Linked DNA regions of Arabidopsis thaliana. The protein of the gene in region 1 interacts with the protein of each later gene in a pairwise test. Each region holds a gene or a part of one and is shown on either strand. Other genes may lie near its edges.

The links.
Region 2: the proteins of AT1G24230 (region 1) and BIM3 interact in a two-hybrid assay, tested with the Arabidopsis thaliana proteins (one large-scale study listed by BioGRID).
Region 3: the proteins of AT1G24230 (region 1) and SOM interact in a two-hybrid assay, tested with the Arabidopsis thaliana proteins (one large-scale study listed by BioGRID).

The regions. Positions count from the first base shown.
Region 1 is NC_003070.9:8,583,440-8,586,884, reverse strand, and holds AT1G24230 (Paired amphipathic helix (PAH2) superfamily protein), read left to right. Parts: upstream 1-1,749; coding exon 1,750-1,892; intron 1,893-1,964; coding exon 1,965-2,177; intron 2,178-2,289; coding exon 2,290-2,464; intron 2,465-2,559; coding exon 2,560-2,661; intron 2,662-2,741; coding exon 2,742-2,846; downstream 2,847-3,445. Other genes in the region: AT1G24240 (Ribosomal protein L19 family protein), read right to left, coding at 245-454.
Region 2 is NC_003076.8:15,557,326-15,561,760, reverse strand, and holds BIM3 (BES1-interacting Myc-like protein 3), read right to left. Parts: upstream 2,861-4,435; 5' UTR 2,679-2,860; coding exon 2,524-2,678; intron 2,426-2,523; coding exon 2,350-2,425; intron 2,271-2,349; coding exon 2,175-2,270; intron 2,031-2,174; coding exon 1,693-2,030; intron 1,205-1,692; coding exon 1,075-1,204; intron 952-1,074; coding exon 850-951; 3' UTR 635-849; downstream 1-634. Other genes in the region: AT5G38850 (Disease resistance protein (TIR-NBS-LRR class)), read right to left, coding at 3,331-4,435.
Region 3 is NC_003070.9:952,678-956,784, reverse strand, and holds SOM (Zinc finger C-x8-C-x5-C-x3-H type family protein), read right to left. Parts: upstream 2,496-4,107; 5' UTR 2,197-2,495; coding exon 1,015-2,196; 3' UTR 641-1,014; downstream 1-640. UniProt on the Arabidopsis thaliana protein: Probable transcription repressor that functions as a negative regulator of phytochrome-mediated promotion of seed germination. Inhibits seed germination by regulating the expression of gibberellic acid (GA) and abscisic acid (ABA) metabolic genes.

The DNA.
Region 1 (3,445 bases):
GATCTCTGAGCTTTTGGAAGATGAATTCAGTGGAATCTGAAGCTAGGAGAGTGACTACACTCATCAGTAATCAGCGAGACCAACCCAAGATCAAAGTTTTCGTTTTTCTTACATTCCTAGCAATTTTCAAACCAATTTAGACATAAGATCTCTATTACCAACCAAAACCTCGTCTACATTTCTACAAATCCACACGAAGTAAAAAACAATCTTAAACCAAAGACAGAGAAGGACAATGGCTTACAGGTACTACTGCCAAAGAGGAAAAGCCGGCATTTTTCAACGAGCTAATGAGATATGTCGCAGCTCTAGTACTAGGGAAAGAATCAAAGCCTAGCTTCCTCGATTCATTAGCAGACCAGCTTCCACAAGAAGAAGAAGTGAAAGGAAGAGTGTTGGAGATGGAGAAACGATGCCTCTGAAGCAACCTTGTACTGCCACGAATCAATTGCATTTCTCCGCAAAAGGAATCGATCTATGCGATCACAAATATCCAAAAGCTTTCAGAGATTTTGAGAAAAACAAATCCCTTGTCATTGCTCCTTCAGGTTTCTTTATTTTTGTTTTGGTAATTTGCATATATACCCCTGATATTTTTTGCTTTTATCAAATACATCCTTTCTTTTTTCTTTGACATCTTCTTGCTAGAAAGAGTTTAGTGTGATGCTTATTGTATAGAGAACAGAACATCATTACATACATGCACTTACAATAAAACTCTTGTCTATCCATGTAGAAATCATAATCTAAAATAATTCAAAACAAAATCGATATGACCTCATATGAAAACCTCAATGTTAACAAAAAAAAAACATTGAGGTGAAAAGTGATTGTATTGTTTCATATATTATAGAGATTTGAATTCAGGTCGATTCTTCTTCTGGCATGTACATATATGATTTTTGGTTTGGGGTCATATTTGTTAGAAACCGAGAGGCGAGAGTGTAAGCACTCAAAAGTCAAAGCAGAGTTCAACGTATAGACGAAAACAGAGAGAAACAGAGCAAACCAAATAAAGATCAAGTAAATCTAATGACAACAAATATGTTTCCTAAATTATATAAATTACGAATTTATATAAGAATTTACCAAGGATTAAAATTAATACAAATATCACATCATCATCGTCTTTGATATATAGAAATCTTTATAAATTTATGTTTCAATTTTCTCTTACAAATTATAGTTTTACAACTACAACAAAAATTGAAGTCAAGTATGAATATATGATAATCCCTAGTATAAATATAGACTCGTGAACAAAAACTCTAAAAAAAGTCTCTGAAGTTTTACTTTGCTTCTAGAAATCTTGAACTCCCTTACTCTGCGAAGAAGACGAAGACGAAGCTGCTTCTTGTTCATTGTCGTCTTTGGTCTGCTTATATATCGGTAACATACTTGCTTCCTCATTCGATTGAACATAGTTTCGCTCACCGGAAGATTAGGGTTACGATCATCTTCTCCTTCCATCATCAGATACGATTAGGTTAAAAGGCGCTCGAGCAATTTTCTAGTTTCTTGCTCATCCTTCTTGGTTTTGTTTTCTTTTCTTTCTACTCGAGATTGATTCTGGATCTTCTTAAGGATCCTGTTGCGATGAATTTGACATGATTCTTCTAATTCGGCTATTGTGTTGTTTGGTGGATTAAGTTTCTTGAGGAATAAGATTTGTATTTATGCACTCTATTTTCTGTTTCTTCAATGAGTTGAGACCTCTTCAATCTTTATGGATTAGGCCAATTTTAGACCATGGTTGGAGGAAGCTTATCACCGGCGTTTACTATTGATGAAGCGACGTCATACATCAATGCTGTGAAGGAAGCATTTGGGGCTGATCAACCTGCAAAATATCGAGAGTTTCTCGACATCATGCTGGATTTAAGAGCTAATAGGTATGTTTGGTTTGCTCTTAAACAGTCTACACATGTGAGAGATTGATTCTCATGTTATTTTTCTCTTTGTAGAGTCGATTTAGCTACCGTCGTTCCAAGGATGCGGGAACTCTTGAAAGATCACGTGAATCTGCTACTTCGTTTCAATGCCTTCCTTCCAGCTGAGGCTAAGGAAACATTTCATGATGTACGTTCATACATCTATTCTTTGAAGGAATCATTTCGTGATGAACCTGCAAAATATGCTCAGTTTCTCGAGATCTTGAATGATTATAGCGCCCGTAGGTATGAATTATTTTCTCCATGTTATATTTGATTTTCTCCTAATTTCTGCTTACAAAACAACACACACATGTGAACTGAACTGATTCTGATGTTACTAAGTCTCTCTTTGTAGAGTCGATGCTCCTAGTGCCGTTGCAAGGATGACGGAACTCATGAAAGACCACCGGAATCTGGTTCTTGGTTTCAGTGTCTTGCTCTCAACTGGAGATACAAAAACCACCCCTCTCGAAGCTGAGCCTGATAATAACAAAAGAATACGTGTAGCAAATTTTATCAGCAAGCTTAAGGTATATACAGGATGCTAAATGGGTAAACTAATCTATTTTTGGTGTTTCCTCTACGCTAACTTGTGATTTAAGATAACAAATTCATCGATGTACAGGCAAGGTTCCAGGGGAATGATGGCCATGTATATGAGTCATTTCTCGAGATATTGACAATGTACCAACAAGGAAACAAATCCGTAAATGACTTGTACCAGGAGGTAGGGTTCTTGGTGGGACATTTTGTGTGTTGCACTTCTTAGCTCTTTGGTTTGATTAGCTTTGTTATCTTTGCTTGCAGGTTGTTGCACTTCTTCAGGGTCATGAAGATTTAGTCATGGAGTTTTCAAACGTTTTCAAGAGAACCACTGGTCCATCAGGGTCAAAATCTGCTAGAGATAGATGAGTACATTATAGAAGACTGTCTCTGCTTTATTTTAGGATGCTTGGAATATAATGTTTGGGGTACAAGAGACAAAAAGAGTACTTCTTTCTAACGAGAAGTGAGTGTATAGTTATCATTTGTAGACATTTGAGATTAGTTTGATTCTTACTCATATGCTTCTATATTTGAGATCAATGAGATGCATAATGGTTTGGGTAAATATAAGAGACTAAAACGAGAGTGTATGATTTCGTTTGTTAAATCTTACCAAGAAGACATGAGATTTTGGGGTCATCTTAGTCTAATGTAGAAACAAAAAGAGAGAGGAACAGAGCCTTTACTCAAACCTATATATATGGCCAAAAATTACAGAGCAAACAAAAATCAAGTAAATCTAATCACAACAAATCAAATAATTAGAAGTCAATCGGATAATTCAAGTAAATTTTATCATGATTTCGTTCAAATATGATTTTAATCATTCACACTTTTTATTGAAAATATTTTAAACATCTAATTCAAACTTCTTTTGTAAATTATCCACGAAAAATTAGTTTTGGAATATATCCGTAAAAATATTTACAATAATATCCTCCATTGGTTTTAAACTAAAATTAAAA
Region 2 (4,435 bases), on another chromosome or scaffold:
TCCAGCTTCTCCTCCTCCGTCGTTCTTCCCTCCAAACCCATTTCAGCCTCATCCTCCTCAGCCTCCTCCCACTCCTCCTCCATCGATATTCCCTCCAAACCCATTTCAGCCTCGTCCTCCTCTTCCCACTCCTCCTCCACCATGGTCTCTCTTTCCTCCACTGCCACCGATCTTTCCAGGCCTAAATCCACCACCACCACCTCCTCCTCCTCCTCCTCCACCTCCGTCGATCTTTCCATTTCCTCCATTCCCATTCCTACCACCACCAAACAAACCTGGCCCTCCTCCTGCTTCATCTCCTTCAGCAAACAAACAGCCTCCTTAATCGAACAAGAGTATCATAATATATACATATATATACCAAACATTTAGTCGAGAGATGAACTATCTGTTGTATAGACAGTCATATTTACATAAGGTTAAAGAATAAAGATGAGTTTTCAACTTCTACAGAATATTGCATCTGTTCTTGAATCTAAAGATCTAGATACTCTAGCTCAAATCAAGCTTGAGACACAAGAAAACAAGGACTCCTTTCTGCAAATCAAACGCATTACTTGATACAGACATGTCAACAAGCACGAAATAATTTCCCGGTTAATAGTGTGAGAAATAGAAGGGCAAGAAGTGATATATCTAAGAGACCATATACTTAAAGTACCATTAAATGGAGCAAACTCTTGTTATAGATTTGCGAAACTTGTTACATCATTCTACTTAGTTTTTACTATATCATTTAAAATAGTTGCAGCACGATAAAAGTAGTATCTACACCTACTGATCCTGACTCACCGAAAGTAACAAAATTATCAAACAGTTGTCATAACATAGAAAATAGAAAACCAGATCTTATCGTCTTATTCTCTTCTGGGAATGATCAATATCATTGCAGAAGCTTCTAGTTTCAGTAGGAGAGTCCCCTTCTTCATCAGCGATGCTATTACCATTATCCTAATGAAAAAGATACATAGCATCAAAATACAAATTAAAATACATAGAAATGTTTTTATAAGAATTACTTGCAGAGTAGTAGACTTCTTTTTCTTTTCCACTGTAAAAATGTTACAGGCATACCTCAGAAGCAAACGCAGCAACAGAATACTCGCGATCTTCTCTTTTCCGAAGGCTTAACTGCACAGATATCATGGTCTCTGACATGTTAACACCCGATGACTTAAGTGCTTCAGTTAGAGTGTTAAGTACCCTGTTCACAATCAAACCAAACAAGAGTTTTCAATCAAATCTCTCCATCTTTATTTCCTCCAGTTATCCGTTTTTAGAACCCTGAGTCTGTTCCAAATACAGAAGCAGATAGGATCTTCAGTTTGAATGACTACCTATTTAGGAGAGAGAAGCACTATTCAAAAGAGAAACTTTGGATTATGGTTATGCAAAATCTTTTCCTCTAACAATTACCAAGTTTACAGCATTTATCTCATACTCTATCCTACAGAACTTCATAGCCAAGGCAAACAAGAAGTCTCCGCAAATAGCTGAGGCATCATTGGAACCTTGTATTATATCATTCTCTCTTAGTATCCAAAAAAGGTAAGCCACTGTTTAAGGAGAGCCAGACAGGAAGGAAATGAGTGTACATCCGTGAGAAACTATATACCAACCCAAACTTTCTACCAAAAAAATGAATTAATTACTGAACAAAAAAAGCTTTATTTTGCTCTACATATGTCTTACCTTTGTGAGCAGACAGTGGACAAGCTGGCTGATGTTTTTTCGTCAGATGTTAACAATTCATTTGTAAAACAGTTAATTGTTCCACAACTTGTTTTTGGTTGCCAAAAGTCATGCTGAACAAACTGCAGCGAAGGCTCGGTACGTAGATACGATGAAACTGCTGAAACAGGACTGTGTTCAGGAATCTTGGTGCTAACTGCTGAGTCAATATCAGGATTTACTGAATTGTACGTATCCAAGAGAAAACCCGAAGAAGCAGCAACTTTATCATTACTTGAAAAGCTTTTAACGATTTGAGGATGGTCATTTTCCTCCGCAACAGACCCATGACTATTTCTCTGCATCAAAGTTACATGAAACAGTTGTCAAAAATACCAAGAAAGATGAAACACTTAACACAATAACCATGTTTCTCTAAAAAAATGTAACAAAAACGATTCAATATAACAGAAAACCAACCAAAGATAGGAGAAGGAATATACCCAAGGAATCAATTTGGTTGGGGATTGATACCACATTTGGTGAGAATCTTCATACATGTGAACTTTTTCTTGAAGAAAGTGAATATACTCTATAACCTGAGACAACATATAAAAGCAAACATCATTCTGATTCTCTGAAACACATGTTCTGTTCAAAACTATAAATTTTACTAACCTCCAACAAGAAAGAAGCTTTATCTCGTTTCTGATCATTCTGATTCTGAGGTATAATATCCATTAAACTCTGAAATCTGTATCCACCAACCAACAATCACAAATTACGAAACTTTCTTGTTACCCTTTTTAGAAAATCTGATAAAAATTCAAACTTTGAACACTTATTATTTACCTTTCATTGATTTTGCTTCTTCTTCGTTGCTCAGTCTCTGAGTGTTTCGATCTACACGAGTTTCGATTTCTCCTCCCTGTTGAAGAATCATTTCGAGAAGGCAAGTTACTGTATACATCTGCTTCTAACTGATCATCGATATCATGAGAGTTCATAGTTCGATGAAGTACGACGAACTCGACCCCGGAGATGGCGCAGTGACCGAAACTCCGGCGAGTGAGACAGAGACTGTGATTGATTTTTGTGTAGGTGTGTTCGTCGAGAAGGTGAAAAGAAAAGGAAGATAAAATCGAAAATTACATAGATAATGTGAAAGGCTCAAAAGCCCATTTAAAACGGATAGTTTCAGGCCCAAATTAATTCACTGTTGTTGCTACTATCAATTTTGTCAGTTTTCACGATCCGTACACTGCATTTCAGTAATATTTGCTGCATCCGAATTCAAACAGTATGATGCTACTACTCATCATATCCAACTCAGTGAAGCAGCCAAACAAGTCATTGTAAAGTATAAACAGATATTCTTTCCTCACTTGCAAATTCGTTCGACTTCTCCACTTTGATATTCTCCTTCTTGCTTCTCTCATCTTCCTCCCCAAACTAAACTTCCGATGCTTCTCACAATATGGGAGACATCAAAACAGATGATGAGCCAACTCCAACAATCTGTGTATTTGTTGGCTTCGATCTTGTCTTCGTTCGAAGTACAGATTAGGCTATCATTATGTCCATTATTTTTAGAGCATTCCAATGCTTCCACGGGTCCAAACTCATAGCTCCAATCGTTTTCATCTTCACAAACTTGGTCTATTTCATATTCATTTCTCCTTTCACTGATTTCACCTGTTCATCTGTATAGAATCTGACACCACACTCAATAATCTCATAGGTGTCGGATATGTTGCTGAATTCAAACAGTATCTCGTTGCCTACTTCATGACATTTTTCCTTGTTATGCAAGTCAGAGTGAAACATAACTAGATGTTCTGCTCGAGGTTTGGGGATAATATAAATAGGTGTTTCGTCATCGGAGCAACCGATTTTGCCAATGCGAGGACAAAATAAGGGAGAATTGCTAGTTTCTTCAGCATCATGGTTAGGGGAAATCACGAGGAAAACCTTAAATCCAAAGAATGCAGAAAAAGGAGTCTTGCCCTCGAGACGAACGGTGATGGAATGTCCGGTAGATCGGTGGTATAAGTCAGTGGGCAACTCTCTTCCAGGTAAGGATGCCCACCCATGAGAAAATGATTGTTGAATAATTCCTCTGCGTGCTTCTTGGTTTAGTTTGAAGCAGTTGGTGAAGCTGAGTTCCATGTATGAAGTATTAAAAGGGCAAGATACGCTCTCAAGTGATTCACACTCGTTTGCTGATAAGTACAAGAGCGAACCAGGAAGCTCTGGCAATGATGCGAGTTTTCTGCAGCCACCTAGAAATAAAATTTGCAGCCCATGAACATTTTTGATGTCATCTGGAATCTTCTCAATTCTAGTCTCGCTGAGGTCTAGATATGTTAGGTTTAGGGGCACATGTGTTACTATCTTGAGGTTTCTACTTTTGTATATTTCGAGAGTACGTAGGCGAGACCACATCGTCATTGATTCAGGTAGTTCTTCCACATCAGTGTATGATATGTCGAGTGAACTGATGTTTGTAGAAATATCTGGAAAGCTTTTTAATCTTGAGCATCCATACATGTTGACCAATTCAAGAGACTTCAAGTTGATATGAGGTGGAACTTCTTTTAGCCTTCTGCATCCCATCATATTCAAATACTTTAGCTTATGCAGATAAGAAAAGGAGGAAGGAAGCTCTACTAAATTCTGGCAAGCTCTCAGATCCAATTCTTCGAGATTTGTAGCATTTGACAGATCCGGAAGTTTCTTTAAATACCATGAACTTGACAAAGAC
Region 3 (4,107 bases), 7.6 Mb from region 1:
TTATAGCAATGAGTATAGAGTCCACCAAAAGGAGTATATATGTTCATAGATCCCATACATGCATGTATGTGCTCATATATTATAATATTATGTAGTCAACACGTCTCGATATGTACATCTGTCGATGACATACACATGCCTCATATGAAAGCTACTAGCTTTCGTGTGGTGTCCAAAGAAGAACAATTGGAGAACTTGTCGCACCTTTTTATATACAAAAAAGGATGTGACATATAACTTTAGGGAGACGGTACTAACACAACTGTATTCTCGTCTACCAGGCACCAGCATAACCAAAACATAACACATTTCAGGGTGAGGGGGATGAATAATTCGAGAATTGTGCATAGGTACATTCATAAAATTAAATCATAAACATAACACGTTTCAGGGTATACGATGAGATGAAACATTTATTTTCAAGAAACGCATATCTTAATATCATTTATAAAACTTAATAGCGTAAACCGAAAACGCAATGTGATCAATCGTCCAGTGATATTTTATACGTTTAAAAGCTTAATACAAATTAACTATAAAACAAAAACCATCAGTTAATCAATATACATATCACAATGATGAAAACAGACGAAGACGAAAACAAAAAAGAAGATCAATATACATATCAATATTCAATTGTGAGGTTGTAATGTTCAAATTGATCTATTAAAGATTTAACAAAGTATACATGAAAAGGGAAAAATATCTATAGAATTGGTGAAACATTGCACAATCCGAGTCCACAAGATATTACAAGTTCAACATATTATTTGGTAAAAATCCCATCAGAAAAAGAAAATTCTAAAAAATAAACGACAATACACAAGACACTTCTGAATTAGCTAAAAAAAAAAATCTTCAAAATAAATTTGAACAAACAATCTCTCCATGCATTGACCAAACCGTTACGAACCGATTATTCTCCCATGATTCATGAATGTGATTAAAATTCTTCCACCGAAATTTACATTCTCAAGTCAGATCTCCTCCCGGCGAATCTCCACCGTCAATCCCTCAAGTCAAGAGATCATTGACCCATCCTAGATCAGGGTCACCACAAGAACCATCCTCAATGTTAGTATTCTCCCTAACGGCCGTCATCGCCGTGAAATCGTTCATCTGTCTCCGGCGAGGAGTGAAATCATCACTGAAGAAGTTCGCCTGAGGTGAGTTAGTTAGGTAACTTGGAGTGGAAGGCGAAAGAGCAAATTGCAAAGGGCTACTTGGTTGTTGTTGCTGGAGATGGAGACGCTGATTGCTCAGACCGCAGGACGACGCAAACGCGGCAGCCGCAGCGGAAACCGGAGTTGTAACGGGCGACGAGGAACTCGCCTGCAGCGCTTCCGCTAAGCTCATGGAATCCAAAGAATTCACAAGCTCGCTCAAAACGTCTTTATAGTTCATTGAACCAGCGGCTGCAGCGGCGGAAACGGCAGAAGCGGCGCGGTTCCTCAACCGTGAAAAAGCAGCGGCTTTATTAGCCGGAGACATAGGTGGAGACAGAGACGGAGATCGAGAAAGATGAGACAAATTACCCAAAAGAGTGCTCGTGGGAGAGCTGCTACAAAACAAGCAACATGGATTCTTCGCCGCAGGAGAAGGCGACGCTGAGACACCGGAAACGTTCTCCGGAGGAAGAACCCTAAGCTGACGTGGCGAATGAGCAAAGAAACAGACTTTCCTTTTACAGTGTTTACCGTCTTTACAAGCTTCAGTACGGTAACGAATAGGATGGAGCCAACACTCGAAGACTCCATGAGCAAACTCACAATCATCTCCACGGCTACAATCACCACCACGACGAAACTCGGGACAAACCTCACCGGAGTATTGAAAGCGACGAGGGTCACGACGGCGAGCTTTCTCACCGGGATGAGCAAAAGGACAATCAGTCCAATCGTGGCTTCGGCTACGAGTGCAACGACGGATCTTGAATTCGAACATCCGGAAATGATCACTTGCGTAAGGATCATCAGAGTCAGAATCATAACAGTACTCTTTATTCTCTCTGTTGTTGTCTTCGTTGTCTTCTTCATGTTCAGATGTAATCTTGTTGCTTTTGTTCCAGTTATGTTTACGCGGCGAGCGAGGGGAAGAAGAATCAGAAGGAAAACTCTTGGAAGATAAAAGAAGCTTTCTCGGAGGAATCTCCACCGTTGGCTTCCTCATTTGATGTTCCGTACAAACGACATCCATGATGATATAATATCTAACTTGTTTTTTTTGTTTGTGATGTGTTTTGGTTTTGAGGGATTTGTGTAAGATGAAAGATGGGATATTGTGGTTTATATATATGTGGATTGAGTATAGATATAGACATGAGAATAAGTTAAAACGTATATTTAAATATTGTTAGCTTTGGATTATTATCATTAAATAGAATTTTGATGAGATGTAATAAGAAGACAAGAGATTAAAAAGTGGAAGGAGTCGTGTGAAGGGTATGGGGAGAGGGTTCGTGGCGAGATAAGAGAAGAGTTTTAGAGAGGTTTCATGCAAAAGAAGCAGGAGCTGCCTTTCTCTCCTTGCTTCAGACCTAACACATGTGCCTATGTTTTCATCAGCATCATCCTCTCTTTCTCTCTCCCTTATCAACATCCATTTACTTTCTAATTTGTTTTTTTGTTAGAATTATACTTGAAAGTATAAGGATAAAACAACTAACTTTATAACAAATTAATTATAATGTATGAATTTGTCTTCTAGTTTGTTACCAAGTAGGCAAGTACTTTGTGACTTTGATACCAAAAATAAGTAACCACCCCATATATATGATTATGTTACTGTTTGATAAGTATTCTTGTTTGTTAAAGCGATCAGCATTTGAAGTATTATTTTTCCTTACTTAGGATTATTATTTAAAGCAGTTTTACTTATTTTTTCATATATTAATTTGTATTTTTGGATTTTAAGTTAAGTGTTCATATTTTTCTTCTTTTACTTAATTTTATCTCTTAGAAGAAAATATTTTAACAAAAACTTAAAATCATTAATTTTTACTCTCTTGGATACGTAACTGCTATGTAAAATAACGTAGTACATAACCGAATAAGTATCAGTATGACAGAAAATCGATCAATATATCATCTAAATTAAATGAGTAAATTGGTAAGAAAACAATTAACTGGTAGATTTAGAAACATTAAATTTGGTTCATCCCCTCGGACTATAGGTTCAATCACGTTTCAAGATCATAAAAGCGACGAAATAACAAATATAACGAAATTCAAATATAATATTCTTAGCTTGTTTTCCTAAGAACATAGTTTCACAACTTCGAAAAGTTTATATGTAAAGAAAGACGTTCTTCAAACTTAAACTGTAGAACACTTTAATTATGTAAAGATCTTCCATATAAATAATTTAACCACAACTAAACTGTAGAACACTTTAATTAATTTTAACTTAAAATTAAGAAATATTAATGACTATAATAAAAAGAACTCGTACAACCTATTTATAAAAGACCTAGTTTAATTAATTTCTTGATACAATAATACAATCGCATAATTTGTCTGAATAAATTATACACGAACTTATAGAAGATCTTGTATACAACGAATCTAAGAAGACTTTACAACACAGAAAGGATATGCACGAGATTAAATACAAAACACGTATAAAAAAAATACGTTTTTTTATTTTGTACGCCATTTATCAGCGGAAACAAATGATATTTAATTACTTTTATAATTTTCAGTCTATCTATTAATGTATCTAAAAATCGGGTGCATGTGTATGTACAAGTGTCACTTTTTCCATTGTTGCGTGGCTCTGATGGAAGCAAATACATTTTTGGTTTCTACCTTCACAAGTCTTCAACTCCATAAATTAATTATTTAAAATACCAATTTCTAACTTTTATGCCAAAATTTTGAAGAATAAAATTAAGTTCCGAAATTGTGTGTTTTCATTTGGAATCGGATAGAAGAACCACGACAAAAACAGATATACAGATGAAAGCGGTAATTTACATTTAAAGTATAAACGAGAAATTAACTAATATTGTTTCGACGGCAAATAGAACACTGGTTTTGTTACATGACATTATGTTTCGGTTTTGGCAAGTTCAATGTTTTGGGACTGGTATCTCATTTTGTATCTAAT